4 linked regions of the Callithrix jacchus genome follow. The protein of the gene in region 1 purifies or fractionates together with the protein of each later gene. This does not show direct contact. Links are inferred from orthologs where the notes say so. Each region holds a gene or a part of one and is shown in the gene's direction. Other genes may lie near its edges. The genes, in order: UTRN, DTNB, MARK2 and DTNA.

Region 1 (7,584 bases):
GTGAAATGGCTTTTCATCTGATTTAAACTTTTCACGCTTTAGGAGGTCTGGTCTTGTTGGATTGAGCTGCTTCACTATCTGGATCTTGAAACCACCTGGTTAAACACTTTGGAAGAGCGGATGAAGAACACAGAGGTCCTGCCTGAGAAGATGGACGCTGTCAACGAAGCCCTAGAGGTTGGAGCCTTTGCTCTCCATGGCTTTTCTCTGTTGTGATGCGGCCACATTTGTATTAAAATGGGGAACGTGATGTTTATGCGGGCAAATGCATTTGCTTCTTCAGTCATATTCAGTGTCACTTGCATTTTTCTTCCAGAGCCTGAAGTGTTTATGCCTTCATGTGTATTTAAATTACTGGTGACCCACTACGTCAGCCTCATGATGCGGTTAGGTGTTTGACAGTTGGCACATTTTCCACATGTTGAAGCACTCTAGTGGTTTTCCAGTTTATATTGCTAGGCCCTGGACAGAGCTCTGCCAAGGTTACTAGAGTAGCTCTTCTCTTGTTTCGTCAACAGGTTGTTTTTACTCACGAAGCACAGCCATGACTGTTTACAGGGGCTTCCTATTACCTTCAGATGTTAGAAGTTGAAAGACATTGGTTGAGTCATGGGGTCTTGTCATAGGAGCTTGTCATCAAGCCTGGACTTTCAACTCCTTGAGGCCGAGAATGTACCTGATACTTTGTTATTCCTCAGTTCCCAGCACAGTGTGTAGCACATGTTAACTTAATAAGCGTTTCTTAAATGAAATACAATGCAAAGAGGGTAGGTTTGCTTAACACACACACAGAAGGGAAGAGGGTAGATATGCTGTACCATGTGGGAAATGAGTGGACAACTGGATTGAAGGTCAGAAAGGAGTGAAATGTGGCACTGACGTCCTAGGAGCTGGATGCTGTGCTAGAGAAAAGATGCCACTTCTCAAATATAGCAGAGTGAGAGACAGAGTGAATGAAAACTGTGAAAAGCTTAATTTTTTTCCTAATATGACAGTGAATACATGTACATTCTAGAAATATGGAAAATAAAGTATAAAGCAAACTCTTAAGAGAAACATTTTTAAACAGTTTGTAGATTTCTTCCTAATTATTATCTTTTATGTATGAGTGCTAGAAAGTGATACACTGTATCAAAGGCTTTGAGGTCTTTTCTTTACTTCTTTATTTATTTATTTTTTATTTGAGATGGAATCTCGCTATGTTGCCCAGGCTAAAGTGCAGTGGCATGATCTCGGCTCACTGGAACCTCGCCTCCTGAGTTTAAGCAATTCTCATGCGTCAGCCTCCTGAGTAGCTGAGATCACAGGCGTGTGCCACCACCCTAGCTAATTTTGTATTTTTAGTAGAGATGGGTTTTTTTTTTTTTAACCCGGTCGGCCAGGCTGGTCTAGAACTCCTGACGTCAGGTGATCCACCTGCCTTGGCTTCCCAAAGTGCTAGGATTGTAGGTGTGAGCCATTGTGCTTGGCCAGCCTTCACGGTCTTAAAGGCTTTAGAGCCATGTTGGAATCTCAGCTCTTCTTTTGACTTTGTGTATGTTGCCAACTTATTTAACATTTCTGAGCTTCAGTTTTCCCATCTGTAAACTGGGAATGTGATTTAGCTGATGTGGTTAATTAGATTTATGTATATAAAAAGTGTATATATAAAATAGTGCCTCTTATTTGGCATATATTGTAGGAAAATGAATACTTATTTTCAGTAATATAATTAATAAAAGTTGAGATAATTTTGCTTGTATAGCATTGTTCTCTGCCTTTAAACTGTGTCATATCATGAGCATTTCCCCATATAATTAATAGTTATTTTCATGTTTTGTTATTCATTCATTTATGTATTGTTCAGAGACATAGTTTCACCCTGTTGCCCAGGCTGGAGTGCAGTGGTATGATCAGAGCTCACTGCAGCCTTGAACTTCTGGGCTCAAATGATATTCCTGCCTTACCCTCCCATAATTAAAAATAATTGAAATTATTTTTGTGGAATTATATCATCATATATCACTTGTGCAAATCTCTCAATTTTATGCATTTTTTAATACCATGATGAATATTTTTGTGAATTAGTAATTTACTTAATTTTTGGTCCTATTCCTTAGGTAGATTTTTAGAAAATGGAATTAGTTGTTTAAGAATTAGACATTTTGGGGATCCTTGATACCTTTGGCCTTAGTAAATGCACTATTTTTTTCCCCATTTTTGGTCCAGTCTCTGGAATCTGTTCTGCGCCACCCGGCAGATAATCGCACCCAGATTCGAGAGCTTGGCCAGACTCTGATTGATGGAGGGATCCTGGATGATATAATCAGTGAGAAACTGGAGGCTTTCAATAGCCGATACGAAGAGCTGAGTCACCTGGTAAGAGTCGGGACATGCATGCGTGTTGATTAGGTACTGATGAAGTGGAGCTGGCCCTGAGCTCCATATCATAGAGCTTTAATGTTGGAAAAATCTTTAATGTTGGTTAAAGTTGGTAACCAATGCCAACAGGGGCATTGAGAGTACTGAAGTACTCAGGAGCGGAGAATAGATCTAACACTTTAAGAAAGGCAGAGCTTGATGATTAAAAAAATTATTTTTGATATTACTTCTACATATTCTTATTACACTTTGAGAAAGAACACTTCTTTTACAGGAAGATTGGGTATGAATATTAGGTGCTTCCAAACACATATTAAATAATAACTGTTGGTGTTTAGTCAATGAATAACATCAAGCTTAACCCCAAAGTACAGTACATAGTAGTTTGATATGTACGTACACCTGTAGAATTTGTTTTACACTTTAGAAAAATAGACTCTGATGTTTGCTGTATTTACAGACATTTTTCTTATTTATTTATTTATTTTTTGAGACGGAGTTTCGCTCTTGTTACCCGGGCTGGAGTGCAATGGCGCGATCTCAGCTCACCGCAACCTCTGCCTCCTGGGTTCAGGCAATTCTCCTGCCTCAGCCTCCTGAGTAGCTGGGATTACAGGCACGCGCCACCATGCCCAGCTAATTTTTGTATTTTGAGTAGAGACGGGGTTTCAATATGTTGACCAGGATAGTCTCAATCTCTTGACCTCATGATCCACCCGCCTCGGCCTCCCAAAGTGCTGGGATTACAGGCATGAGCCACCGCGCCCGGCCTTTTCTTATGTTTTATATTCTTATTGGTAGACATTGATGACTCCTAAAAATTCCTTAAAATTATAATAAATAACAAATTTTTGTCTTCTGTTTAATGCATCTTATGTGAAACTTTACATTTTTGTATTTCGTCATTATATATAGAAAGAAGTAATAATTAGTAATTCAGCTGAATGGTACATAAGATCCCAGTAGGACATTTTCACTGTTGTCATTAGTAATTATTATTTATTTATAGGAAGGGTAAAGTCTTGAACAAAAGCTTTTATAGTCTTTTCTTAGTGGCCAGAACATATATATTCAGCTATTTATATTTGCACTGAGCAACTAATGATTCAATTTCTCCTCTGCAGGCAGAGAGCAAGCAGATTTCTTTGGAAAAGCAACTCCAGGTCCTGCGGGAAACTGACCACATGCTTCAAGTCTTACAAGAGAGCTTGGGGGAGCTGGACAAACAGCTCACCACGTACCTAACTGACAGGATAGATGCTTTCCAAGTTCCACAGGAAGCTCAGGTATTGCTATGAATTTGAAGGCTTTCAAGATGTAAACAGAGCATATGCAATTGCCTCTCCAACTATAATAAAATCCCTCTTGCCATCCAAAACCGAGAGTCAGTGGGAAAGATTGACCTTACTTATGGGGCAGCATTTAGGTTTTGAAGTTCTCTCGCTTTCTATGTGAGACTCTCTCAAAAGTTCTATATATTTTATTTTGTTATTTATTTGAGATGGAGTCTCACTCCATCACCCAGGCGCAGTGGTGCGATCTCAGCTCATTGCAACCTCTGCTTCTGGGTTCAAGTGATTCTCCTGCCTTAGCCTCTAGAGTAACTGGGACTATAAGCATGTGCCACCAAGCCTGGCTAATTTTTTGTATTTTTAGTAGAGACAGGGTTTCACCATGTTGGCCAGGCTAGTCCCAAACTCCTGACCTCAGGTGATCTGCCTTGCTCTGCCTCCCAAAGTGCTGTGATTGCAGTTGTGAGCCATTGTGCCGTTGAAAAGTCCTGTATATTTTGAATAGTAGTTTTCTTCGCTACGAAGTTGGGACAATTCCTTCCTTATAAATAAGTTGTGAACATTAGAAATGACAAGTGTAAGGACCTTAGCATGTGCATCACACACAATAGTCATATTATGCAGTGCTGTATTATCATACAAAACTTATTAAAGCTTCTATGGAGGTCAACATTATGTAAAATACAACATTATGTACTACACAACAATATAGAACTTTTGTATTGCTTCTTTTTATACTTAAGAAAAAAAGGACATTGTTTCCCCTTTCCAATCTCTTTGTAGAAAATTCAAGCAGAGATCTCAGCCCGTGAGCTAACCCTAGAGGAGCTGAGAAGAAATATGCGTTCTCAGCCCCCGACCTCCCCAGAGAGCAGGTCTGCCAGAGGAGGAAGTCAGATGGACGTGCTACAGGTAAGGAGGGCGAGGAGCTTCCATTTACTTTTCAGCACGTTGGGAATTTTTTTAAAAGAGAAAGAATTGGTTACTCGGGCACCCTTGGTGCCCTTATGATGTAAATTGTGGAATGGGAGTGATGTCTTGAAGGTGCATTGCATCCTAGGGCAGCAGAAACAAATTGTTGCAAGGGGGGGAAATGTTAAATCTGATTTTTATAGTTGAGTTGAGAAATAAGAGAGTGAGCCGTATTTCGAGGTTACCTTTATATAGTCTTTTTCTTTAATGCAGAGCCTCTGTCAGCATCTTGTGGCTGATGCTGTGGGCAGGCTGAGCATGAATTGGATGCAACATCATTTAGTTCTTTCATGGTTGATGTGACATTGACTTTCACTCTGAACTTCCGATGAAGGGCATTTTGAGCAGAACTGTCCTTTAGAACATGAAGTTTTATTTCCAGTGAGGCCAGCTTTATCTAAATTTCTTATCCAAATCTACTGACTCCTGAGAGTGAGACAGAGTATTGAGTAACTTTTGACACTGGGTTATGCAGTTCACTTAGGCGATTGGGTAACCTCACCGAGTTCTATTAGGATTTTTATTGTTGTTATATTACTGCTTTTGTGTGTGTGTGTGCTTATGGTACAGATTTTGAGTAGAATGCGTTATGCTCATGATGAGAGAGATAATCATTCTGATAATTGCATATTTTTATTTCTGCAAACAGAGGAAACTCCGAGAAGTATCCACAAAGTTCCAGCTTTTCCAGAAGCCTGCTAACTTTGAGCAGCGCATGCTGGACTGCAAGCGTGTGTTGGATGGTGTGAAAGCAGAACTTCATGTTCTGGATGTGAAGGATGTAGACCCTGACGTCATACAGACCCACCTGGACAAGTGTATGGTGAGGCTGTTGGGTGATTGACACATCCAGTGGCTTTTTCAGCAGCTGTTATGGCTTAGTCTAGTGCTTACATGCCTAGTGTGTCCAATGAGCACTATTCTAGAATGTGCTAAACATAAGGATTGATGATGAAAAACCTGTTAAAAAATAAGAAGTGTGGTCTTTCCCTCCAAGGAAATTAGAAGAGATAAGAGAGATAGCTAAGGAAACTAGAATAGACATGTATATAATATGATGTCAAACAAAAACCAAAATGAAAGAAACACATCTCAATCATAGTGTGAAGTTAGGAAGGCTTCAGCAGAATGTGACTAATAAGCAAAGTTTTCAAGGATAATTTTGAGTTAGCTAAAAGAACCATACTTAGAATGGATATCAGATATATTATAGCATAAAATTCAATTTTCTAGTAAAGTAAAATTTTAAATAGAAATATAAACCTAAGATAGGAAAGAAGAAATTATATATAAGGCCTTATGACTTTTGTAGTCTTGAACTTTGTAATTCAATTGAATAGAAATTTAAAAATAATGTAGCTAAGGGGACACAATCTTATAATTAGTGTTCTGCTTGAGAATCACAGAACTTAAGCTGAGACTCTTTAGGGCAGGAGAAATACAGGGACATTTCTATGTGCCTTTCAAAACAAAGGGTAAATTTCAATATATATGTGCATGTATATAAGTATGTATTTCATTATCGTGACACAATGGTAATCAGGGCAAGTGCTGTCTTTGACTTCATGGAACACAGTTTAGGGGTCTGTTGCGTGATAGTGTCCCATGAGATGTTAAGATGATGATGTATGGTGTCAAGAGAAGCTGTAAAGCTTTTTGGTTTCAAGTAACTAGGATGAAGACATCTCTGAATTTGACCTACAGAATTCCAATTTATTTTTTCTTCTTTTATATTTAAATTTATTTAACTTTAAATTTTTGAAGAATTTTAGATTAAGGAAGTACCTGTGCACATTTGATACGTGGATGTATTGTATGATGCTGAAGTTTGGGTTTCAACAGAACCCATCACCCAAACAAACATAGTACCCACTCAGTAGTTTTTCAGCTCATGCCCCTTTCCTCCTTCCTGGCTTTTGGAGTCCCAATGTCTTTGGTTTCCATCTTTATGTGCATGTGTACCAATTGTTTAACTCCCACTTATAAGTGAGAACATGTAGTATTTGATTTCCTGGGTTAATTTACTTAGGATAATGGCCATGAGCTGCATCGACGCTGCTGCAAAGGACATGATTTCGTTTTTTATAGCTGTGTAGTATTCCGTGGTGTATTTGCACCACAGTTTCTTTATTCATTCCCCCATTGATGGGCACCTAGGTTGATGGCATGTCTTTGCTATTGTGAGTAGTGGTGTGATCAACATGGGAGCGCATGTATCTTTTTGGTAGAAAGATTTATTCTCCTTTACAAATATACCTAGTAATGAGATTTCTGAGTTGAATAATAATTCTATGTTTAGTTCTTTAAGATATTTCCAAACTGCTTTCCTCAGGGGCTGAACTGACTTGCAGTCCCACTAGCAGTGTACGGTGTTGGTGTTTCCTTTTCTCTGCAGGCCTTGTCAGCATCTCTTGTTTATTGACTTTTTAATAATGGCCATTCTGAATGGTGTGAGATGGTATCTTATTGTGGTTTTGATTTGAATCAGAAATATGATTTCTTATAGTCATATACTTCTTGATATATCAATTTTTTAATATTTTTTATCATATAAGTAATATACGCTGATTGTGGTAGGCTTAGGACTTCTGAGAAATAGAAGGGAAAAAAATAAACATTAATAATTTCAAATCCAAGAGACAGCCATAGCTGGTGTTGGCTTTTTTTAAGTCATAACATATAAAATTTTTTTTAAATGTGATTTTAATTGTGATAAACATTCTGGTTTTAGTCCTAATGTTTTCCCATTTTATGTAGGAAAAATGTTTATATCAAGTTCTTTTATAAACATTTAAAACATTTGTCTGAGTTTTTAAAAGAATGAGCATAAGCTCTATTTGATTTCTTGTCATATTTGAAAAAGTGTTTTCAAGCTTGATTTTATTTGATTCAATCCTCAGACCCAATCTGAGACAGATCGTGGCCTTTGATCTCCATAGTTAGGTCTTGGCTGTCAGTC
Region 2 (8,330 bases), on another chromosome or scaffold:
AGCCTTCCCAAGCACTGTGATTACAGGCTTGTGCCATGGCGCTGGGCCCGTGGGTATGTTTCCTGTCTTTCGAGTTGCTACAGATGACAGTTTGGCAGTACTATTTCCACGACTTGAATTCTTCCCTCTACTCCTTCTTTCAGTGCTGTGACACACAAGTCACTCTCCCTCCAACCTCTGGCAGCTGTTTCCTCCTGAACCCTCTGGGCTGCACCAGCAACCTCCTTGCCACCCTTCTAGCCACCTTCTGCCATGCTGTCAAAAGCCAAAATGACATGCTGTGTTTTATTACAGCACTCTCTTCTCCCGGGTACCAATTTCTGCCTGTAAGCTATTGCTGCATAACAAATCACCCCAAAACTTTTAGTCGTCAAACAACATCGATTTATTGTTTCTCTCAATTCTGCAGGTCAGCTGGAGGCTCGTCAGCTGGCGTCACCAGGGCCCAGCCAAGTGGCTGCACTTAACGGTAAGGTCAGCTGGCCTGGAACACCCTAGAGGGTCTCATTCCCATGCCTGACAGTAGGTGCTGCCTGACAGCTGGAGTGCCTCAGTTTCCCGCCACAAGGCCTTTCATATTCCATTAAGGAGACTGGCTTCCTTACAAGGTGGTCCAAGGGCAACGTGCCAAGACAGCAGGCCCTAGTGGTAAGTATTTATCCAGTCTTTGCTTATGTCATGTGTGCATTGCTTTAAGTCACATGGCAGCATCAGAGTCCATGTAGGAGGGGAACACAAAAAAGCACACATATCAAGAGGTGCGACTCATTGGGGACCATCACTGTGACAGTCGGCCACACTAGGGCTCCAGTTGGAATGAGTCTTTGGGCTCCCATAGCTCTCTGAAGCTCTATTAAAAAGCACTTAGCCAGGCATGGTGGCTCATACCTGTAATCCCAGCAGTCTGGGAGGTTGAGGCAGGAGGATTGAGGATTGCTTGAGCCCAGGAGTTCAAGCCTGGGCAAAATGGTGAGACCCTGTCTCTACAAAAAATACTTTAAAAAATTAGCCAGGCATGGTGGTGTACACCTGTGGTCCCAGCTACATGGGAGGCTGAGGTGAGAGAATTGCTTGAGCCCAGGAGGTCGAGGCTATGGTGACCTGTGTTCGCTTCACTGCACTCCAGCCTGGGTGACAGAGTCAGACCCTGTCTCAAAAAACAAACAAACAAACAAAAAACCACTTAACATAGTCTCTTGAAAATCATCAGTTTTATATAACTCACTTGCCATCTTTAAACTGCCCCCTCCGCTCCCCTCCCCTCCCTTCCCTTTTTTCTTTTCTTTTCGACAGAGTCTTGCTCTGTTACCCAGGCTGGAGTACAGTGGCACAGTCATAGCTCATGGCAACCTCAAACTCCTGGGCTCAAGTGATCCTCCTACCTCAGCCTCCCAAGTAGCTGGGACTGTAGGTGCATGCAACCACATCAGGCTAATTTATTTTTACATTTATTTTGCAGAGACAGGGTTTATCATGTTGCCCAGGCTGGCCTCAAACTCCTGGCCTCAAGGGATCCTACCAGCTGAGCATCTCAAAGTGCCGGGATTGCAGGTATAAGCCACCATGCCTGACCTTTAAACTTCTTTAAGCAGAAGTTGCCAGGTCTTTCCTATCTTCTATTTCATAGGCTAGTATGGGGCAGACATTCATTCAATAGGAACTGCTTGCGAAAGAGTACTAGCAACACACTGCACTGCTGTTTGTGTGAGGGGTTCCTCCTTGGTGTTTCTCAATAGATACCCAAAGTGCTGCACAGGTTCCGAATCTCCCTGGGTCTCTGACTGTTCCAGGCTTCTGAAAAGTCATGAAAAGCTGTTGGCTGGCAGAAATATGGTTTCAGCTATGTCTACAAGCAGAAAAAGCTTGTTCATCATCATCACAACTAACACCTGCACTGCAGCCAGGTGCAGATCCTGTAGGGCCCAATCAGAAAGCCCAGGCCTGGCTGTGCATGGTGGCTCACACCTGTAATCCCAGCACTTTGGGAGGCAGAGGTGGGCGGATCACCTTAGGTCAAGAGAACAGACTGACCAAATGCTAAAACCCTGTCTCTATTAAAAATTACAAAACTAGTCAGGTGTGGTGGCACACACTTCTAATCCCAGCTACTCGGCAGGGCTGAGGCAGGAGAATCACTTGAACCCAGGAGGCATAGGTTGCAGTGAGAGGAGATTGCGCCATTGCATTCCAGCCTGGGTGACAAATGCGAAACTCCATCTCAAAAAAAATTAAAAAAAAGGTAATGATTCAGGCCCTACAAAAATCAGTCATGTGGAACCAAAAGAGTGGCTGAATTGTGTAGAGGCTGAGTTCCGAAATGCTGAGTCAGCACACAAATGTGCGAGGCACACAGCAGGACAGGTGAACCCTGCATGAGGAAGTGAGCAAATGTTGAGAAGCTAAGAAGGTGAAACGAGAGATAGATGGAGCAGCTCAGCATCCACAACTGGAAAGCTCTTTCCTGTGCCTGGGTCCCGCTGGCCTCATGCCTTCTTCTCTCCAGTTCTAGAGAGATGGCATGGAAGGGGCCTGGGAGAGGAAGGGGATGTGTATCTCACTTCTCTTTCCTTCCTCACATGATAACAGGGACCATGGAAACATACCCTAATGCTGCCCAAGGCTGTCTGGTACATGCTGAAATCTAAAGCAGCTGAGGCTGGATGTGGTGGCTCACACCTAGAATCCCAGCACTTTGGGAGGCTGAGGCGGGCAGATCATTTGAGGCCAGGAGTTCAAGACCAGCCTGGCCAACATGATGAAACCTCATCTTCACTAAAAATGCAAAAATTAGCTGGGCATGGTGGTGCATGCCTGTAATCCCAGCTGCTTGGGAGGCTGAAGCAGGAGAATCACTTGAACCTGGGAGGCGGAGGTTGCAGCGAGCCAAGACTATGCCTCTGCACTCCAGCTCGGGCAACAGAGCAAGACTCATCTCAAAAATAAATAAATACATAAAAATAAAAAATAAAGCAGCTGAGCCTCCCTTCCCTCACCCACGACCATGCAGGGGCACCCTGGACGTATTTCAGACCTTGCACGCCGAGCCGGCGGAATGGTCTCTACTTCTATCCCAGCTAGTTTCCAGCGCCCTTTGCACTCTTTGTACAGCCAGAAACCCTTCAAATGATTAACTTTAACAAATGGGAGAAGCTCAGTGCTCCTCGACCCTGGCTACGCATTATATCACTTGGGGTCACTTAAAAAAATTCAGCCCAGGTGCAGTGGCTCATGCCTGGTCCTAGTGCTTTGGGAGGCTGAGGCCAGAGGATCTCCTGAGCCTAAGAGTTTGAGGCTGCAATGAGCAAGACTCTGTCTCTTAAAAAAAATTAGTTCCGCCAGGCGTGATGGCTCACGCCTAGAATCTCAGCGCTTTGGGAGACTGAGGCAGGTGGATCACGAGGTCAAGAGATCGAGACCATCCTGGTCTCGATCCAGGGTTTCACATGGTAAAACCCTGTCTCTACTAAAAATACAAAAATGAGCCGGGCATGGTGGCATTAGCCTGTAGTTCCAGCTACTCAGGAGGCTGAGGCAGGAGAATTTCTTGAACCCAGGAGGCGGAGGTTGCTGGGAGCTGAGATCGCGCCATTGCACTCCAGCCTGGGTAACAGGCTGGAAAAAAAAGATTAGTTCATCTAGATGAATTTTGGGTGCAGGTATATTTTCTCAAAAGCATACCAGGTGACAGGTATGTGAGAACAGCTTGAATTACCCTTGAGCCAGTTTAGAATGTTTTGTCAACATAGAATTTGTTGACATTTTCAGGTGTTTGACAACACTACATAAATAAACAAGCCTTTGATAAACTAACAAAACCTGTAGGACACTCTTCCTCGGACACTCTAGCCTCTGGATTGCCTTCTTGGGGTAATTCTTGGGATCTTTTGGGGTGCCATCAAGCCTCCTGCCTCGTGAGCTTTGCATGGTATGGCAGAATGATAGCTAATCACCCCTGTAATCCCAGCACCTGGAAAATATGACAGAAGTCTCGCTAGCTATCCAAGCCAGTCCAAATTTCAGCTTGACACCTAAGGACAGTTTTATTGAAGAATACAACTGCTGTTCCCGAGATAAATCTTAGAAAGCTTTGTCTTGAAAGGTTTTTCATGCAATTTGTCACAGGCTCTCATAATCCACAGGATGATACAGAGAGTAAAGATCAACACCACCATTAGCGCTGCCTCTCTTCCCCGCCCTCCGAATCCCACTCAGAGGTGTTCGAGCTGGTTTTCTGTGCCAGCTTCATTCCACATTTGGCCAAGACCGAGGACTCAGGCTTCAGCCTCTGGGGGTAAGGATTTCCACATTGTTATTTGCCATGCAAAATAGCAGTTCCTATTCATTTCTTCCAAATCTGCCTCTGTCAACACAGATGGCGCGCTACCCCGTACTGCTGGGACTGTGAGATTCGGCAACATTGTCTGTGTCCTGACTGTGCGGACCTTTGGCAGCCAAGCTATCACCATCCCCTGAAGGATGGATTTTGGTTTTTGTTTGCCTCCTGTGAAGGACCTTCTTTCTGCTAATCATTTGAATTACTCTCTCCTGGACCCCTTCCAGTCCTATCACGCCATCTGTAAATGGCAGAGAACAGAACGAGACACACATTATGGTGTCAATGTATAATAATTTGATACAAAGATGCGATTATGATGTTTTGTTTTGAGTATTGCTATCTGCACGTTCTTGGTTTTTTTGGTGGGATGGGGGTGGAGGTGGGAGAAGGAAGCTAGAAGCCAGAGCAGGCTGGACAGTGGATTTTATTTACAACTTTAAGGAATGGTTTTCAGGTTCATTAAATTGTTTTCCTTCAGCTGTTATTACCTTCCTCCTGCTCACACTGACACTCGGAGGGCAGGTGTCTGCCCTCCCACGCAGCTCGCTCACATCCTTCTGTAGCCTCCTCCCTGCCACTCTCAGCTCACTCACTACCTGGCACATGACCTTGGCGATTCCACCACGCATCTCTTCCCCAGATCATTTATCACTATGGTAATTAAGACTTGGATGTTCAGACTGTGGAATGAAAATAGAACAGGTTCTAGCACAGATTTTAAAAAATATTTTTCTTCCTGCCTCCAAAAAAGTACATGTTCATTTAAGACAGTTTGAAAATACAAACAAATGCAAAGAAAATTAAAATAATTCTTAATCCTATTACCCAGAGATAACTTCTTCAAATATTTTGGTTTATATTCATCCAGTCTTATTCAAGGAACACAGTAAACACACACTTTTTCCCTTTATCTTTGATAAATATTATATTTGATATATTCAAAGAATATATGTAACATTACACTCCCCCCACAAGAATCAAAACATTATAAACAATGGCAGTAATTGTCATTTACCTAAGTGCACCCCTTAGTCTCCCACTTCCTCTCATGGGGTGGGAGTATCATTCCCTTGCCTTATTTTTTTTCCCCTTGCCTTATTAAAGTAATTTTAGAAATTGTTTGTGTTTATTTGATTTTCAGCTTTGTAAAAATGGTAACATGCTATGAGTCATATGTTTCCTGCTTTTTTCACGAAGAAAAATGTTGGTTCAATTTATCCATGCTGTGTTATGCAAATGTTCTTTTATTTTTGCTGCTGTTTAATATTTCCACTGTGGAGATATACACATTTATACATTCATTTTTCTCTTGCTGGCCATTTGGATTGTTTTCATAAGTCTCAAGAACAGGCTGGGAGTGGTGGCTCATGCCTGTAATCCCAGCACTTTGGGAGGCTAAGGCAGGCAGATTGCCTGAGCTCATGAGTTCGAGACCAGCCTGGGCAACATGGTGAAACCCTGTCTCTATGACATACAAAAATTAGTTGGGCGTGCTCATGCACGCTTGTGATCCCAGCTACCCTGGATGCTGAGGCATGAGAATTGCTTGAACCTGGGAGGCAGAGGTTGCAGTGAGCCAAGATTATGCCACTTCACTCCAGCCTGGGTGACAGAGCGAGACTCTGCCTCCAAAAAAAAAAAGTACTAAGGACAGTGCAGTGATTGCACATTCCCCTTGGTGCATGCATGAAGAGTATCTTTGGGGTTGAATAGCTGGATATAAGGTAGGTAGAATTTCAACCTGTTAAATATTGGCAAAATGGTTGTACCAATTTATACTCTCACCATTACTGTATAGGAGTTTCCAATTGATTAGCCTTTTTTCCAACATTTGGAATTGTGAAACTTTAAAACTTGCCATGCTAGTAGGTGTACAACGTTGTAGTATTAATTTGCATTTTCCTGAATGCGAATGAAATGGAGGATCTTTTTCTATGTTTATTGACCATGTGTTTTCTCTTCCATAGAATGCTTGCTCCTTTTTCTATTGTGTTGTCTCCCACATTTTTTTTACTTTGAGTCAGAGTCTTGCTCTGTTGCCCAGGCTGGAGTGCCATGATGGATCTCAGCTCACCGCAACCTCCGCCTTTGGGTTTCAAGCAATTCTCCTACCTCAGCCTCCCAAGTAGCTGGGACTACAGGCATGCACCACCACGCCCAGCTAATTCTTAGCTTTTTTTTTGTATTTTTAGTAGAAACAGGGTTTTACCATGTTGGCCAGGCTGCTGTGGAACTCCTGACCTCAGGTGATTCAACTGACTCAGCCTCCCAAATTGCTGGGATTACAGGCATGAGCCACGATGCCTGGTCTCTCAAACATATTTTAAACAAAATTTGAGCCATACTACATATACCATTTTATATCATCTAAAACGTTCTTTTACAGTGTTATTTTAGTGATTTGGGACTCTTCTATCTCATAATTTAATCAGAGCTCTGTAAGTATTTTTTTAAATTTTGGTTTTGAGAAATAACTCTGGTAAGATATTCTATTGCATACATTTAATTACACATAACTGAATGTTTTAATAAAATAAGTTCTAAGAATTGAGATTTCTGAGCCTGGGAAACATGGTGAAACCCTGTCTCTACAAAAAAATACAAAAATTAGCTGGGCATAGAGGCATGTACCTGTAGTCTCAGCTGCTCGGGAGGCTCAGGTGGGAAGATTACCTGAGCCTGGGGAGGTCCAGGTTGCAGTGAGATATGATTGCGCCACTGCACTCCAGCCTGGATTACAGAGCAAGACCCTGTCTCAAAACAAAACAACAACAAAAAAAACACAACAAAAAAACCCAATCATATATCTTGGTAATGACTATGTATCAGTCAGTAAAGATCTTCTGAATTTCTTTTGACAGCCTCCTAATACCCCATTGTATTTAAGAACCATAGTGTAGTCAATCAATCTTTTACGTTTGGGTGTTTAGTTAGTTTCCCATGCAAATACAAATATTTTTGCAAATTATGGTGCAATGAAGAAACTTACATATGTAAGCATGCCTATGTATTTCGGAGGTATCTTTAGCATAAATTCCTAGAAGTGGGAGTGCTAGGTTGAAATGTAAATGTACAAATCGTTTCTTTAAATCTTACCAAATGCTTCTCCATAAGGGCTATACTATTTTTCATTTCTTACAGCAATGTGTGTTTCCATAATCTCACCAACAGAGTACAAATATTCGATTGCCCCAGCACTATTTTTTTTTTTGAGACAAGAGTCTTGCTCTGTTTCCCAGGCTGGAGTGCAATGGCAGTGATCTCAGCTCACTGCAACCTCTGCCTCTGGAGTTCAAGCAATTCTCCTGCCTCGGCCTCCTGAGCGGCTGGGGTTACGGGTGCAAACCACCATACCCAGATAATTTTTGTAGTTTTTAATAGAGACAGAGTTTCACCATGTTGGCCAGGTTGGTCTCAAACTCCTGACCTGAAGTGATCCGCCTGCCTCAACCTCCCAAAGTGCTGGGATTACAGGCATGAGCCGTCGTGCCCTGCCTCCCAACACCATTTATTAAAAAGCCCATCTTTGCCTCAGTCATTTGACTGTGTATTGTCTACTGGATTTTCATAAGCAGTAAGTTAATTTCTGAAGTTTCTATTTGATTTCATTGATTTGCCTATGAAATCAAATTAAACAGAACCACACTGTTTTCATTCAGAAAGCTCTATAGCATGTTTTAATATTTGCTAGGGCTAGTCTCCTCTCATATCTCTTTCTTTTCTGTGTCTTACTAGTTATCCTTGAGTGTTTATTTTTCCACATAAACTTTGGTATCAACTTGTATAGCTACAGAAAAGAATTGGTTTATATTTTGGGAGAATCATATTAAATTTATAAATTAACATAAGGAGAACTGTTAACAAGGTTGAGATATTTTAAACAAAACCAAGTGATGTCTTGTTCAAGTATACATATGCGTCTTTGAGGAGGGTTTCATAGTTTTATTTTTTTGATGGAAACAGCTGGCTGGGTGCAGTGGCACATACCTGTAAT
Region 3 (7,255 bases), on another chromosome or scaffold:
TAGTCAGCATCACAGGGACTCAATCCTTGAGGGTCGATCCCCATTGTCCCCTTGAGGGTCCAGTCTGCCTGGCTCCCAGGGGGTCCGCTCTCTGCAGCCTGAACCACACTCCATACGTGGGTCCTTCCTTGCCTCCCTCCCTCCCAAACCATCTCCTTCCACTTCCACGAGACTTCCTTCTCACCAGTGTCCTCAGTAGTCACACCCTTCCTTCTGTGTCCTCGTGATGGCTGCCTCTGCCCTAGCATCCCCCTCCCTGTCCCCACCACAGGGTATCCAGGTGCCCAGTGATGATGGCTGTCCTGTACCCTAATGCGTCCCCCTCAACCCCACTTCTCTTCCCACAGCACAGCCCCCCAGCGTGTCCCTGTCGCCTCCCCCTCCGCCCACAACATCAGCAGCAGTGGCGGAGCCCCAGACCGAACTAATTTCCCCCGGGGTGTGTCCAGCCGAAGCACCTTCCACGCTGGGCAGCTCCGACAGGTGCGGGACCAGCAGAATTTGCCCTACGGTGTGACCCCAGCCTCTCCCTCTGGCCACAGCCAGGGCCGGCGGGGGGCCTCTGGGAGCATCTTCAGCAAGTTCACCTCCAAGTTTGTACGCAGGTAAGCACGGAACTTTGGGTGGCAGAGAGGCTCAGGCCAGGCCTTCCTCCTTGATTGGGTGGGGGTTGGGGTTGGGGTTTTGGACACTCTGTGCCTGTATTGGGTCTTGGGGTTAGAAGAGGCTTCAGGAAGCACAAGAAATTGGGTCTTTGTCAACTCCTTATGTGCCCATGCCCAGCCCCACCCCTCTTAGGCCTCTCCCCAACTCCCCACAGGCACCCCTCATTCTCTGGCCCCAAGCAGATGGCCGATGCCGCCTCCTCTCTAGGAGAGTGTGAACTCAGATGCTAAAATAAAAGCCCCCCCTCTCTCCTGGGTTCCCATGGAAACTTATATTTGGTGACGCAGCTGCAAAGTCATGAGGCATGAGCCAGGCTGGGGCCAGCAAGGAAAATTTTGTCCTGGTCTCTTGCCCCTTTGACCACCTCTCCCCCTAGTTGGTTCTGTCTGACTGCAGGCCCAGGGATTCTTAGGGTGAAACCTATAAATGAAATCAGTGGCGAGGGCCCACAGTGGCCTCCTCCCCAACCTAACTCCTATGTGCCAAGGCTTTCCTCTGTTGGACCCAGGGTATGGTCTCTTCAGGGGGTTTCTCATACCTGAGCACCCAACCCCCACAGAGGGGCGGCTTAAAGTACATCCAGCCATGTGGCTGGCCTCCTGAGATGCTCCACGTCCCCATCCCACCCATTCTACTCCCCACCTTGGAGTAGCAACTCAAGAAGCAGCAGGGGCCTGAGAGAGCAGGCGTGCTGCCCTTCCCCTACGTTTCACTCCACTCCGCTGGAGCCAAAGCCACTGCCCAGCCCAAGCCCCAGAATGCAGGTGTGAGGCTGCAGAGAGGGAGGGCAGGTCTGGAGGCCTGGGGCTCTAGTCCTGGTCCAAGCCCCAGAATGCAGGTGTGAGGCTGCAGAGAGGGAAGGCAGGTCTGGAGGCCTGGGGCTCTAGTCTCGCTGAGCGGCTCTTCCAAAATGGGATGACCCATGAACCTGTAAAGCCCACTCCCCACCTGCTTATCCACATACCGTCTTGTTGGTTTTTTTTTTTATTTCTCTTTTTATTTTGTCTTTTTTTTGTTTGTTTTTTTTAGAAATCTGTCTTTCAGGTTTGCCAGAAGGTAGGCGTTGAGCCCGCTGTGTGTGTGTGTGTGTGTGTGTGTGTGTGTGTGTCTGTGTGTGTGTGTCTGTGTCTGTGTCCTGTGTCTTGCCTCCATCACTAACTCCCCTTTTCTGGCTCTTACTCTCCTCCATCTGCTTAATCAAGTCTGTGTGGCCCTCCTCTCTCTGCCATCTTAAAGGGATGAAGACTCCCTCTGAGTGGGCATCGGCACAGGGCCTGCCCTCCATGCGCCCAAGTGCAAACAGGCAGGGCTAAGAGGCCACGTTGCCCTACTCTGAGCAAATAGGCTTTTAAAATGAGGGGCCTTCCTTGGGCCCACAGTTACGCCTGTCCTCAAGTCAGAGGAGACCATCTCAGGGAAGCCTCCCTTTAAGATTGTCTCCTCTCACCCACCCCACCCCCACTCCCCCTCACCCCAGGTTTTGGTCACAAGTGTTGGGATCCTTTTCTGGCTCCTTCCCTGTCATGTGCATGCGCTGTGAGGAAGCTCCAGGGTTACGAGCGCATCTGGGATGCTTTCACCTTTGTTGTCTTCTGGGCTTCCTGAACTTCAGAGCTGTGTGACCTCTTCCCCGTGGCCTGTGGGATGGCAGGACTTTGGAGACACTACAGGGACCCTGGGGCCCCAAGGTTTCAACTGTGACTCCTCCAGACCTAAGGAGCTTTTGTCACAAATGGAGCACAGCACCCCCTCCTGGCAGCTCCTGCAGACCTAGGCCCCCTCACCCACACCCCTGCCCCAGCACCTCTGCCACCAGCAGCATCTAGATAAATCAAGCCTCTTCTCCTGTAGGCTGTTTTGTGGAGATATGGCCTGTCCCTTCCAAAGTGCCAGGAGCTGGAACATTCTAGGGCAGGGGCCATTCTACCCCAAGCCCTAGCAAAACAGCTGGCAATCTCTGCACCCTCACTGTGGGTCTCCCTTCACGGGCCCCATCCTGGCCCTTTCCGCGCTGGCCTTATGCTCATCCTTTCTGCAGGCCTCAGGGGCCAAATACCAAGCTGAAAACCAGGGGTCAGGTTGAGAGTGCGGGTTCCCCAGTGCTGTCTGCTCAGGCCCTGCACTGGGGCTGGACACCTGGCAGGCACATTGGCGCCACTGCTGACAGAGGAACTGTCCAGACAGGGTCTTCAGGCTTTCCCCATCCCCTCCTCCTCCCACCCAGCTCTTGACTGCATGGCTGGCTGCTGCCTCAAGGAGCCCAGCAGGGGGCTGCCCCACAGGGGGTCTGGAGAGAGCAGGGAGGTGCCTTCCTCGCACAGCGGGGCTCTCTGCTCGCAGTGCGCTTGTGTGCACCCCCGTGTTGGTTGTGTCTTCCTGTTTATTTCTATGTGCTGCTGCTGCTCTTTCTCCCTCCAATCACATCCCCCCTCCTCAGCAATCCCCAATTTCCTAGCTCCAGACACCCATCTTTCAGCCAGGAGCTGGAGAAGCCGCTCAGCGGGGCCAGACCTCTTCCCCACCCACTCCCCCAAGGTGTCTGCCCTGCCCCGCCCGCCCCATCCTCCCTGTTTATGAGCAGATGGCCTGGCAGGCCGGCAGGTAGGGGAGTTGGGAAAGGTTGGAGGAGGCGGCGTTTTGCACTCAGCAGCTGGCATCCACCATGCAGACCCAGGCCGTGGCGCTTTGAGCCTCGGGACGGAGGCCTCTGCGTAGCCCCGGCCCCTCCCCCACAGAGATCCAAAGCATTGTAGCCCCTTTTCTCCAAAAGGACTGCAGTCCTGAGACCCTAGCGTGTGGCTCCAAAAACCCACTCACACCCACAACCCCTAGAACAGCGCATGAGCCCTGGCTGTGGGGGAGCAGCCTCGTGCCGGGCCGTGTGCTCAGTGTGCTCAGCGCGAGTTTGTGCACAGCCACGCCCCCTCCTCCCCCAGAGCAGAGGCTCCTTCTCCCTGGCACCTGGTAGAGATCTGGGAGTGTGGGGAGGGACAGGCCCATGTGCTGGGCTCCCTGCTGGAAAGGAATAGTGGAGCCACCAGTGTGAGGTGCTGCAGAGCCCTGCTGGCCTGCCGGGAGATGGGCAGAGGGCCCTGGGCTCGGATCCTGCCCACCCACTAGTGGCACCTCCCCAGACCCACTCTCATCTGGGTCTGTGGTGGTGGAAGGAGCGAGAGAGCTCAGCACTAAACTCTCCCTCGCTCTGTTTTTTGAGGAACCTGAATGAACCTGAAAGCAAAGACCGAGTGGAGACGCTCAGGTGAGAGGGCTGGAGCCAGCACTGGCCCTGCCCGGGCCACCGGGCTTGCCACAAGCCTCCTGCTCCTCTCTTCCTTCTGCCACTTGGCTCTTCCTCCCGTGGTTCTGCCCTGTCCCTACCCTCTGGGGCCTCCCTTTCCTCAGAGAGTTTCCCCTTCCCAAACCCAGTTGCAGGAGTTATGGGCCCTTCTCAGGTCTGGTATATTCTGTGAGTCTTGAGTTCTGGGTCGGGTGGTCGGGTCTACAGATTCCTACCCCTGGACTACTGCCCTCCTCTTCCTGTCCCTGGACTACTACTCCCGCACCCCCACACTGCTTCCTACCCCTGAACTCCTCCTCCCTCCCCATCGTCCCCTCCACCTGGTGCTCTGAGGCTCCTTTCTAGAGAGGCAGCCTATGCTCGGCTATTGAGGGCACTGGTGTCTTCCCTAACCCGGCTCCCTGCTCAAGGCTGGCTTCTCCTCCCCTTCGCTGTCCTGAGAGATGGGGATGGAGGACGGCCTCCCTCTGCCCCCTGGGGCCGGGCTGCACCTCGCTGCTCCTGCTCCCTCTCGCTCTCCCCTCTGGTCTCAGGGGCTGTCTGCCAGGGTGGCTCTGTGGGGGTTGGGTGCCTTAGCCCCCCCACCGCCACCATGACGCCTGCCTCTGCCCTCTCCACAGACCTCACGTGGTGGGCAGTGGAGGCAACGACAAAGAAAAGGAAGAATTTCGGGAGGCCAAGCCTCGCTCCCTCCGCTTCACGTGGAGTATGAAGACCACGAGCTCCATGGAGCCCAACGAGATGATGCGGGAGATCCGCAAGGTGCTGGACGCGAACAGCTGCCAGAGCGAGCTGCACGAGAAGTACATGCTGCTGTGCATGCACGGCACGCCGGGCCATGAGGACTTCGTGCAGTGGGAGATGGAGGTGTGCAAACTGCCGCGGCTCTCGCTCAACGGGGTTCGATTTAAGCGGATATCGGGCACCTCCATGGCCTTCAAAAACATTGCCTCCAAAATAGCCAACGAGCTGAAGCTTTAACAGGCTGCCAGGAGCGGGGGCGGCGGGGGCGGGCCAGCTGGACGTGCTGCCGGGCCGCCGCGCCGCCCCACCCCACCTGGGTGAGACTGCAGCGATGGATTGGTGTGTCTCCCCTGCTGGCACTTCTCCCCTCCCTGGCCCTTCTCAGTTTTCTTTTCCATGTTTGTGGGGGGTGGGAGATGGTTCTCCACACCCCCCACATTCAGCCCTGCCCAGAGATTCCCCCTTCCCCTCTCCCCCACTGGAGGCAAAGGAAGGGGAGGGTGGATGGGGGGGGCAGGGCTCCCCCTCGGTACTGCGGTTGCACAGAGTATTTCGCCTAAACCAAGAAATTTTTTATTACCAAAAAGAAAAAAGAAAAAAAAAATCCCAGCGGCCACCTTTCCTCCCTGCCCCATTGGGACAGTCGAGACTGGATCTGTGGGGTTTCCCGGGAGGGTGGCTCAGGGCTGGAACACTCTCAGGCAAGAGTGGTGGAGCTCCCGTCAGGCCCTCCGCCAGGCCCACTGTGGGCTTCTCCCCTCTCCTCCCTCCTTCCCCTCCAAGCAAACCACCAGAGGTGGCCTTCCCCTGACCTCAGGCCCCTGGGCTGGAGGCCTGGGCAGCGGGGCGGGGTGGGGCGGGGGTGCTGCGCAGCCCTGCAGTGGGTGGGGCTGGGGGCTGCTCCGGGCTGCTGAGGCTGGAGGGCCAGCTTGAGGCTCCGCCTCCCTCCACACTGTACCCTCTGCCCCTCCTTCCCAGAGCTGGGCATTTCCTTCCACAAGCTGCTGTGGGGACGTGTGTTCCCTCCTCAAAGTCTGTGCCATCTTCTCCCACCCCTCCCGGGTAGAAGGAGGGGCTGACCCCAGGGCTGGGAGAGGGGAGGGGACTGCAGGGCAGATTGGCTCCTCTGTCCCCAGGGGGCCGCTTGGGCTCTTGGTCTCCAGAGCCAGGCCGCTGGGCACTGTGTGATGGGGGAGCCTTTGTCTGAAAGCACAGCCCCCTCACCCTTCCTCTCCCCATTGGCTTCCCCTTCATTGGCATTAATCTGGGCACCAGCTCTCTCCATAGCAGTGACTTCCCTCACCACTCTCATCTCTCAGCCTTGCCTTTTCTTCCTGACACTGTCGCCCCTCCTCTCAGGAGACACTGCCCAGGGCCACCTGGCAGAAGGCTGGGTTGGGCAGCAGGGCCGGGAGCATCTGCCCTCCACCGGGTGGGGGACAGATAGGCAAAGCGACTCCCAGCTTGCTACCCTCAGTGGCCGGCGTGGGCGTGGGCATGGGCGGTTTTGGGCGCTGGGCTGGTGGTGGCCACTGCATCCCTTAATTTATTTCTCTGCTGTTTCTGTTCTTGAGAAATTGGGGGAGGGAGTCCTATGCAGAGGCTGCCCCTACCCTCACCTGAGTTGTACATTTTTTTTGTGATGGGTTTTATTTTTTATTTTATTATTTTATTATTATTTTTTTTTGATTTATGATGACTCCACCCCTCTTCATCACCCCCGCTCCCAGGCCAGGCTCAGCGATTAAGTCGAGCCCTTGGGTCCTAGGAAGGGGCCTCGCCAACCTCAGCCCTCCTGCCCCACACTCCTACTGCGGCTCAGACCAAGGGCTCCCCTCCCTCCCTTCCCCCCTCCTGCCCTATGGAACAGCCCGGGTGCTCTGAGGGGGCCGGGAGGGCATGGCTTGGCTCCCAAAGGGGGTAGGGGCCTGGGGCACCCAGGCAAGGTGGCCCCTCCCCATCTAACCCCCTCCTCCCCAACCCTGCACTTAGTTTCTCCTCTGGATCAAACACGTAATAAAGAGAATGTTTGGAATCTGAGCTGCCTCCTCCTGTTTCTTCTCCCAGCCAGGCAGGGACCCAGTCCCCTGTGGGCAAGATGTGGCCCAGCCGCCTGCCTTGCAGGAGACCAGCTCCCCACCCACCCTCAGGGCACAGACAGGAAGCAAAGCCCAGGGCCCTTGCACCAAAAGGGAAAGAAAACTCACTCAATAAGCTTAGGAGGTTTTATTTTTTATTTAATTTTTTAAAAATGTTGAAAAATAAATCCAAGTCTGCATAAGTTCCCAACCCCCATTTCTCCAAGCTTCTGGAAGGCGGTCCTGGTGGGTACCCTCAGCTCCTTAGCACTTCCCAGCTGACCCCTGAAGACAGAGCTTCCCTTCCAGCCTCTGCTGCTGTAAGGCCCCTCTGCCCACCTCCCCACTGCAGCCTCCCTCCCCACCTCACCCCAGACTTATTGCTAAAAGAACGGAAAGAGGAATGAGGACAGCCAGCACACCCAACTGTCCTCTCTCCACCCCCATGCTAAGGTCACTACCCCCCACA
Region 4 (8,380 bases), on another chromosome or scaffold:
CAGCTGGTTGGGGAAGCAAAATTTATATACATTTTGTGTTTTTCAAGACCTCATTCTTCCCTGAGACAGTCTACATTGAAGGCGCATAAGAGTTTCTAATTGGAAAAATAGCAATGCGTTTAGTTTTCAACTCTTTTGAATCTATCTTCTTTTTACTTTTGTTATATGAGTCATTTAAATATTCCAAAATTTTTAATGCCTTATGCCCCCAAACTATTAACAGCTCATAGATAATAGTAACTATCCCCATTTGATCGAAAGCCCATATATTCTCTATATATCATTACACATTAAAACATAGGTACACACATAGTTTACTATTAATATACTATAGTGAACATTCTGATTTTACTTACAGCCATTATCAGATCAATGATAATTTTAAAAAGCAAGAAATTATAAGAGCAAAACAATAAACATCAGGAATGCCCTTTCCTTGATAATGATAGCTTAAATTAGTACAAACCATAAATGTTTGTGCATAACCACATTAAAAATATTTTTCCCTACATGAAGGTATTCTGACACAAACTGCTAGTGATTGTTGAGTCACTGAAATTGTAATGCATTTCTGAAACACGTTATAACCATCAAACCTAAATATACCTCTAATCAAAACAAATCCTGCTATGAGTATGCAGATCAAAAGAAAAGTGCTCTTGATACATCGCTGTTCAATTTAACCCTCCACCTCTTTTGCAGAAATCTCCCAGAAATGTGGCAAAGCCATTAGAGTCTGCCACGTACTAAAGCATCTAGTTTAACTCCGATAGCCTGTGTAAAATCCGGGATTATAAATCACTGTTATGATCTATGCCCAGAAATATATCTAGACCTATTGTTTAGGAGAAGTATTGGAAGAAGATATACTGAGCAATATTTAGAGTTGACATATCTGAAACTATAAATAATAGTTTCAAAACAATGAGTGAAAATTTTCAATATTTCTCCATTCAACATGTATTATAGAAAATTAGGAAAAATTATCACACTCTAAAAAAATGAAGTCCCGGCTGGGTGTGGTGGCTCACGCCTGTAATCCCAGCACTTTGGGAGGCTGAGGCAGGCAGATCACCAGGTCAGGAGTTCGAGACCAGCCTGACCAAAGGGCGAAACCCTGTCTCTACTAAAAATACAAAAACTAGCCAGGTGTTATGGCACGCACCTGTAATCTCACTTACTTAGGTGGCTGAGGCAGAAGAATTGCTTGAACCTGGGAGGTGGAGGTTGCAGTGAGCTGAGATCGTTCCACTGCACTCTAGCCTGGGCAACAGAGTGAGACTCTGTCATAAAAAAGAAGTCCATTAAGGTGCCTACTTCTGATTATTCTTAGACTCCATAAAAATGTATGAAAAGATCGCAAAAATCAAAATATATTATTATTATTTTGTTCTTTAAATATTGCAAGCCTATCTCTTCATTACCTACTTTACTATACCAGTGACTTTGCTTTCCCATCTGTCTCCCTGAATTTCGGTGTTAGTTTCTTCTTAAAAATGTACATACCATGGCTATTTCATCCCATCGTCATGTTTACTATTACATTATACTGATAGGTCAGTCTACTTATTTCTTCTAGTGGATCCTTTACTTTTTTAAAAAAATTGAGATCAGTCAGCACATCCTCTGCAGAACTGACACCTGGTGTCCTTGGTTTACTAACAGTAAGAAAGTCTACAATTTCCTAAATTTTCCATGCAGCAAAAGTTGATCCTCTTTTTCTTCTCCTTTTGTTTCCTTCTCTATTTTCTTATCTTGTAACTTCATTCCCCCTCCTTTCTCCCCTCCCTTGACTGCTTTCTCTTCTGCCTTTTTTCTGATCAGTCTTTCTCTCACACTATTTCTCTTCTTTTTGGGTTATTGGAAGGCTAGTTTATTAGAAGGCTGCTGGAGCTTCTTATCTACACCTGAGCAGAAGCTACCCAAAAGTGTTCTTTCTGAGAACTTTTACAATATAAAACAATCCCCATTTACTGTTTATGTACAGTTATGTACTGTTACGGTGCAAGTGTAAGAGAAGAGCAAACTAGACATAATTACCTTGGCCCTTCAAAAGGTAGGAGGGTTAATGGCAGACTGAAATATAGGGCACAGAGGCAAATGAAATGATTTTAACATGGAACAAAAATTAAGCGTATCTTTATTTTCTTTGTGATAACTCACAGCACCAAAATAACAAAGGTTTTAATCTGCAGTCATTTAGTATATGTATCTTGTCTCAATAACTAGAAGTAAACTTAGAAGACAGGTACTTGTATTAAACTTCTCTGTATCCTTCAAAATGTAGTGTAGCTCTTCACATACACCAGGTGAAAGGTGTTTGAATGGCATAGTTAAATCATTATGAAATTGGTGACTACTTCAAAAACATTGGCTAAAATTGCTTGAAATTATGATCTAAGGATTTAAACAATGCAACTGGATATAAATGTGTGCATACACACAACACATTCCCCCCAAAAGAAAGAAAATTATATGAAAACGTGGAAATGGAAATATAATACAAGAGAAAACTATATCAAGACACACATATAGTAAGATAAAATAATTTTCAATTTTAATTGGCAACTTAAAAACAATCAAGAATGTATTTTCAGTAACCTAAGTATCTGGAAATTGGTTATAGTGAATAAGCAACCTGTGAGTATCTGTGCAATTAATATTTATAGTGAGATATTGACTTATTATGTGTACTTGGATAGGTCATGTTATCTTACTTATGCCTCTGCATCTCTGAAGTGACAATACTTACTATTTGCCTTTTCATCCACCTCCTCTGCAAAGATGCTCTGCAAATAAATGAGGTAATGTTTGGGGAATGTTTGCAGCTTGGGAAAGAAACCCACTGCACACATCTAAGAATATTCTATATTCAAGACTGGTATATTTTGCCTCTGTTTTAAATTGAAATTGTACTGTTTTGAGTTCTTGGGTTCCGACCAAAATCTGGGTCAACGTAAGAGAATAATTATTTTTAATTTTAATTCTGAGGCTCTGTTCCGACCTCCTGCACGTGTGAGGGAAAACTGTAGGAAATAAACAAAGCACATAAATCAAGCTTTGGAAGAGACAAATCTCTATCTTGAAATATTTTTTTTTTCAATGACGAGCGTGCCCACTATTTCTCTAGAGGAATATTTCGTTCCAGGAAGGAGGATAGTGCATTCAGTGTGAGTGTGTGTGTGTGTGTGTGTGTGTGTGTGTGCTGTGCGTGCGCGCCCGCGGAGAGAGGGGCGGGGGAGGCGGATGAGGAGGATGAGATCATAGTTTCAGGATCCTCAGGAAACCCTGGTACTGGCAGCAGCCAGCCTCTGCTGTGCCCACATGACCCACAACTCTGGCAGCGGACCCGGCACTTCCAACATTATTAAATAATAAGAAAGCGGCTCCTACTCCAGGCTCAAACCTCCCTGCAGACCAATGGACACCTTCTAAGAGTTTGGCGAGTCGGTGACTGGAGCGCCCGTCCATTCCAAGGTGTGTGCACGGCGTTTTCTTCCTTGACAGCTCTGGAGTCGGGGAGGGCGCGGGGGTGGAGGGGGTCCGTGTGCCGGGCGAGGAGTGGGCGCCAGGCCGAGCTGCCGCGCGCTGCCCCTGGCCGCCCGTTGCCGCGGAGCGGGAGGTGCACATGACGCGCAGCCCCGGCTGCGCAGGGACCGCAGCCGCCCACGGCGCCGGGGCGCGGGCAGAGGCGGCTCGGCGCTGGAGCAAGGGCAGGCGCCGCACACCGAGGAAAGTCAAGAGTGGAAGCGGGCGGAGAGCGCCGGCGGGGGCAGGGATTCGCCTCAACGCCCACTCGCGGGGTTCCCACCTGTGCGCCGGCGCCGGCCGCGGCTAGCGCGAAGCATGTGCCGGGCGCCGCAGCCAGGACTGCGGCGCGGCGCCTCCCCGGGCGGCGGGCGGCGCCTCGGGCCCGCGGGGCGGCGGTAGCGGCTGCTGCAGGATGTCCGGCCTGGGGGCGCGGGGCCGCGCAGGTAAATCGCCGCCGCCCGCGAAGGCCCCGGCGGCGCCGCAGCCCCAGCTGCCGCCGCGGCGCCGCTCCCGGGGTGGCGATGGCAGCCGGCTCCCTCGCGTCGCGGGTTGAGTGGTTTTTGTTGTGGTCGCTGTCCTCTCGGTCATCCACGCGGGGCTGAGCTGGTGGGAGGTGGCGTGTCTGCCTCCATTAGGGATGACACTCACGTCGGGGAATAGTCTTTAGGGTATTGACCGGGACATCCGCGAGGGGTTCCCTTGCAGCAAGCGGCGTCCTGGCATGTTGCAATGCACTGCGGTGTCCGGGCGGATGCCTGAGTGGGAGTGGGCTCCTGGCTCCGGGGACGGGGGCGGCGGAGGCAGGTGGGCACGGGGGTGACTGTCTTTGGCTTTTATAGCCTGTTGCCCACTTCGAAGTTTTTTGCTGGACCGAGGGCAGGCGGGAGGTTCGTTCTGGTATCCAGAGTAGGAGGTGGAGAGGGGTGTCTGTCAAAAGACCAAAGCCAAAGAGAGAAGAGGGGTGGCAACAGCGGGGCTAGGACTCAGTGGTACCGCTCCTGGGACTTGATGATAAAACTTTGCTGTTTGGCAGCCTTGGGGTATGGCTTTGGGAAAATAACTGTAGAACTTGGCTGTGGGGGATGGCGGGGTGGGGGGGGTGCAAATATTGGATGTACACTTGCAGTGAAGCTTACTATGTTTTAGTTTCATTCTTAGACTAAAAAAATTGTCGTTTGAGTTGATGTTTATGTTTTCCTGTTATCTGTCATTATCACTTGGCATTTCAAGTGTTTGTGTTTTCTTTTGAACTTAAGAGATACTTGTGTTGTTGAAATGTACACAATTATTGATTTCTTTAAAAAATAGTTTTTTTTCTTTTGCTTATTCTAAAGGTAGAACTTTAGGGAAAAAGTTCTTGCCACATGGTCCACAGTTCTATATGGTTTAGATTTATTCGCTGTCTTAATTCTTACAAAACCAAAGGAGTAGGTAATGTTATTAAACAACTTCTGCAGGTGAGAAAATCCAGGCACAGAGAGGTAAAATAACTTACCCAAGGTCATACATTTATTGAGTGTCAGAGTCTAGTTGGGCTTTTTGTGCGTTCCTAATCAACTCGTTGTACCTAACGTCTTCTATATCGACCATATCTTTCTAGGAAGGTGAGTTTTATAGCGATGTGCTGCATGTTCAGATCAATTAACTCTTTTTCTACATTTTCCTCTTACTCTAACTTTCAATACTAAAATTATGGCAAATGACATTTGAGCAGTTTCTTTTCACTATAATTAACCAAGTTTCCTTCAATAATTAAAGTTGCATTTCATGCAGAGTTGAGATTTTCAACGGTTAAGATGTATCAGCAAAGTAAATTATTATAAAGCGGATGGTTAAGACTATATGTTTGTTTGCACTTAATTTTAAGTTTCCTAGGTTATTAGTCTATTCTTTGTTCAAATCATGGCCTTCGTTTACTTCAGAACACCATCTTGCAGATTTTTGAGCAAGTTTAATTATATTTAATCCAGTCACTCTGACGAGAGTTGGGCAGTTCTAAAAGAATTATGCAATTCTCTTTCAACTATCAGTGATGAAAAGCAAGCTGTATTTTAAGGGCATTTGAGTCTGTCATGTCAGTTAGCCAATTGTATGTAGTTTATACAGAATTGTGTCGCAATGAAGACTGAAATCAAATTTTCTCATTAGTTCTAAGTTGAAATACTTTAAAAATCTCCACTTGCTTTAAATGAACCATGATGTGAAGAAAGGTCTCAATGGGGTGAGCTCCAACTTACTTAGAGAATTACTCTCACATATTTAGAGAATTACTCTTCATTTGAGCTTATCATAGAGCTTTCACAGTATTCATTTTATTGGGCAGATGTCTCTCTTAAGTCTTCATCTGTTTTTTTTTTACAAGTAAATTTTAATTGCTTCTTCACATAACGAGTTTCAAAATTATTTTGACATTCATAGATTTCCTTTAATTCTCATCTTTTACTTTAATTAAATTCAATATATATAATTTCAAACTCACACTTAACATTATAAGTAAAAAGAGACTAGAATCCAACTAAATGGCACGGAAACATGATCTGTGGATATGAGAAAAAATATTCGGCTCTTCAATGGTTAACCAACCTCTCCCCACAACAAACAAACACACACACACACACACACACACACACACACTCACACAGACACCCACACTCCAGAATTATGGCTACATCTTTATTTTGGGATGCTAGAGTGCAGTCCTGTGGTCAGAGTGGTTGTATGCCATCAGGCACAAGTGTTTTTGATACTGAAATTGAATTTGATTTTTCCAAGTCTATTTATATATAGTGTTGATTGTTATTAAAACGTAAATCCTGTGGTACATACATATAGCCTTTCTTAACTCAGTGTTCCAGTTTTCTAGCTTCTGTTACTTATTTTAGAAACAGCTTGCTACTTTTATCTCACTTGGTAGTTTTGACATGACCTTTTCCTTTCAAGTCCGACACCTCTAGTTTGAAATAATTGCACCATCTCTGCTTCTACAGAGCCTCTCTTTTCCAGGTGTGGGGTGCAGAAGTGGGGTTCAATACTGAGCAGAAAGATCTGTGAGTTCTGACTGCACAAGGGGAACAAGCTTTAATAAAATAATCATGCCGATAAATGATTACTTGCAAGTTGAGGTAAATTACCTGAATGAAAGGAGGAATTCTATGAGAATATGTATTGAAGGTTACTGGACTAGACATGGAGGTCAGGACAAGATGCCTGAAAAGTCACATATTTACATATTTGTGGAACAATGACATATGAGAAGGTGTTTACTAAGCACAGTAATCTTTTCCTAAATGCTTGCATGTTAATTTTCTGAATTATGTTCTGAATCAGAGATGTATGTCACTCTGATTATCTCTTTACTTCTCTGTTCACTAGGAGACATACTATTTCCCCTCATTATCCACCCATGGACAAGGGGAGATTTACAAAACTGTCAGTACTTTTTTTAAAAGCACATGGAGCATGTGCTACCTTTATGTGGTTAGTTGCCTATTTGCAAAGAGTTATTTAGGTTTAATGGAACATAGTTATTTTATTTCTTTTCCTTGGCAACTACTTTCAAACTTTCAGTTTGGGAGGGTTTATTTGTTGTTGTTGTTCTCAAAGTGCCAGGATGTCTCAAAATAGAACTTTAATTGATTTGTCACACAGTCCCTGATATTGTCTGAACTACCCAAAAGAAGAGAAGAGGTTCCATAGTAATGAAGATGATATTGAATGTTGAAGATGCTGGGGAAATTCATATTAACGAGTTCAAGCAAACATAATAGTGACTAAATTTACTGAACACATACTGTGTACTGAGCATCATTCTGTGGTCTATATATAAATTAAATGATGTATTCTTCACAAAAGCCACATGAGGTTTACATGTCATTATCTCCATTTTATAGAAGGAAAAACTGAAACACAAGGAGGAAAGTAACCCTGACCACTGTCATATAGTTAGAGATGGTCTTTAAAACAAAGTGTTCTGATTCCTTAATTCATGCTATTAACTATTGATGTATAACATCTGGCTCAGAAACTATGGCTGCATTACATTTCCGTTGCTGTTGAAAATCGTAATACCTCCTAATCTCATGTTTCAATTATTTTTTTCTTTAAAAAGTAGTGGAAAAATAGACCTTCCTTTATATGAATACTTTTTGCCCCATATTTTATAGGTGAAAAATGTATAAAACATGAAGGTATATTAATGCCTAGATAAAACCAAATGACTAACAGATTATGAGAAATGTTTCATTATGTTATGTATTTTTTAGTTCAAAAATGGTAAATTGAGCAACATTTCAAACTATTAAAATTTTTTAAATCAAAAGTACAAGAGTACCTATATTGGCATTTCAAACGATCAGGAAACTATCTTTAACAGCTAAAGGTTTTTTGATCATTAATTAATGTAAGAATTTAAGGCCGAGCACGGTGGCTCATGCCTGTAATCCCAGCACTTTGAGAGGCTGAGGCAGGTGGATCACCTGAGGTCAGGAGTTCGAGACCAGCCTGGCCATATTGTGAAACACACCACCCCCACCTACTAAAAATACAAAAATTAGCTGGGGATGGTGGTGTACACCTGTAGTACCAGCTACTCCTGAGGCTGAGGGAGGAAAATTGCTTGAACTCAGGAGGCAGAGGTCATGTGCTGAAAAGAGGATATAAAGTGTGAAATAAAATCACCAGTTGAATGATCTTGGTAAAATTAAAAAGACGCTGTTAATTTTTATATTGGGGTCTTTCAACATAAATCAAAGCAATTGTTAGATTAAAATTATGGGGAAAGCTTTAGTAATTTTAATTTTATTCAAATGATCTTAAGCTGAGTCACATGGCACTTTCCACTAGCAAAGTG

What was found.
Region 2: the proteins of UTRN (region 1) and DTNB purify together in Homo sapiens (affinity purification with mass spectrometry; 3 studies listed by BioGRID and IntAct, with this or other methods). This does not show direct contact. The link is inferred for Callithrix jacchus from reciprocal best matches to the Homo sapiens genes UTRN and DTNB.
Region 3: the proteins of UTRN (region 1) and MARK2 purify together in Homo sapiens (affinity purification with mass spectrometry; 4 studies listed by BioGRID and IntAct, with this or other methods). This does not show direct contact. The link is inferred for Callithrix jacchus from reciprocal best matches to the Homo sapiens genes UTRN and MARK2.
Region 4: the proteins of UTRN (region 1) and DTNA purify together in Homo sapiens (affinity purification with mass spectrometry; 3 studies listed by BioGRID and IntAct, with this or other methods). This does not show direct contact. The link is inferred for Callithrix jacchus from reciprocal best matches to the Homo sapiens genes UTRN and DTNA.

Annotation. Positions count from the first base shown.
Region 1 is NC_133505.1:151,252,213-151,259,796, forward strand, and holds part of UTRN (utrophin), read left to right. Parts: intron 1-42; coding exon 43-177; intron 178-2,208; coding exon 2,209-2,358; intron 2,359-3,485; coding exon 3,486-3,647; intron 3,648-4,436; coding exon 4,437-4,565; intron 4,566-5,274; coding exon 5,275-5,448; intron 5,449-7,584.
Region 2 is NC_133515.1:89,524,514-89,532,843, forward strand, and holds the start of DTNB (dystrobrevin beta), read left to right. Parts: upstream 1-4,244; 5' UTR 4,245-4,291; intron 4,292-8,330.
Region 3 is NC_133511.1:120,952,655-120,959,909, forward strand, and holds the end of MARK2 (serine/threonine-protein kinase MARK2), read left to right. Parts: intron 1-347; coding exon 348-605; intron 606-1,695; coding exon 1,696-1,722; intron 1,723-3,880; coding exon 3,881-3,925; intron 3,926-4,584; coding exon 4,585-4,945; 3' UTR 4,946-6,748; downstream 6,749-7,255. UniProt on the Homo sapiens protein: Serine/threonine-protein kinase. Involved in cell polarity and microtubule dynamics regulation. Phosphorylates CRTC2/TORC2, DCX, HDAC7, KIF13B, MAP2, MAP4 and RAB11FIP2. Phosphorylates the microtubule-associated protein MAPT/TAU.
Region 4 is NC_133514.1:77,574,641-77,583,020, forward strand, and holds the start of DTNA (dystrobrevin alpha), read left to right. Parts: upstream 1-3,687; 5' UTR 3,688-3,974; intron 3,975-8,380. UniProt on the Homo sapiens protein: May be involved in the formation and stability of synapses as well as being involved in the clustering of nicotinic acetylcholine receptors.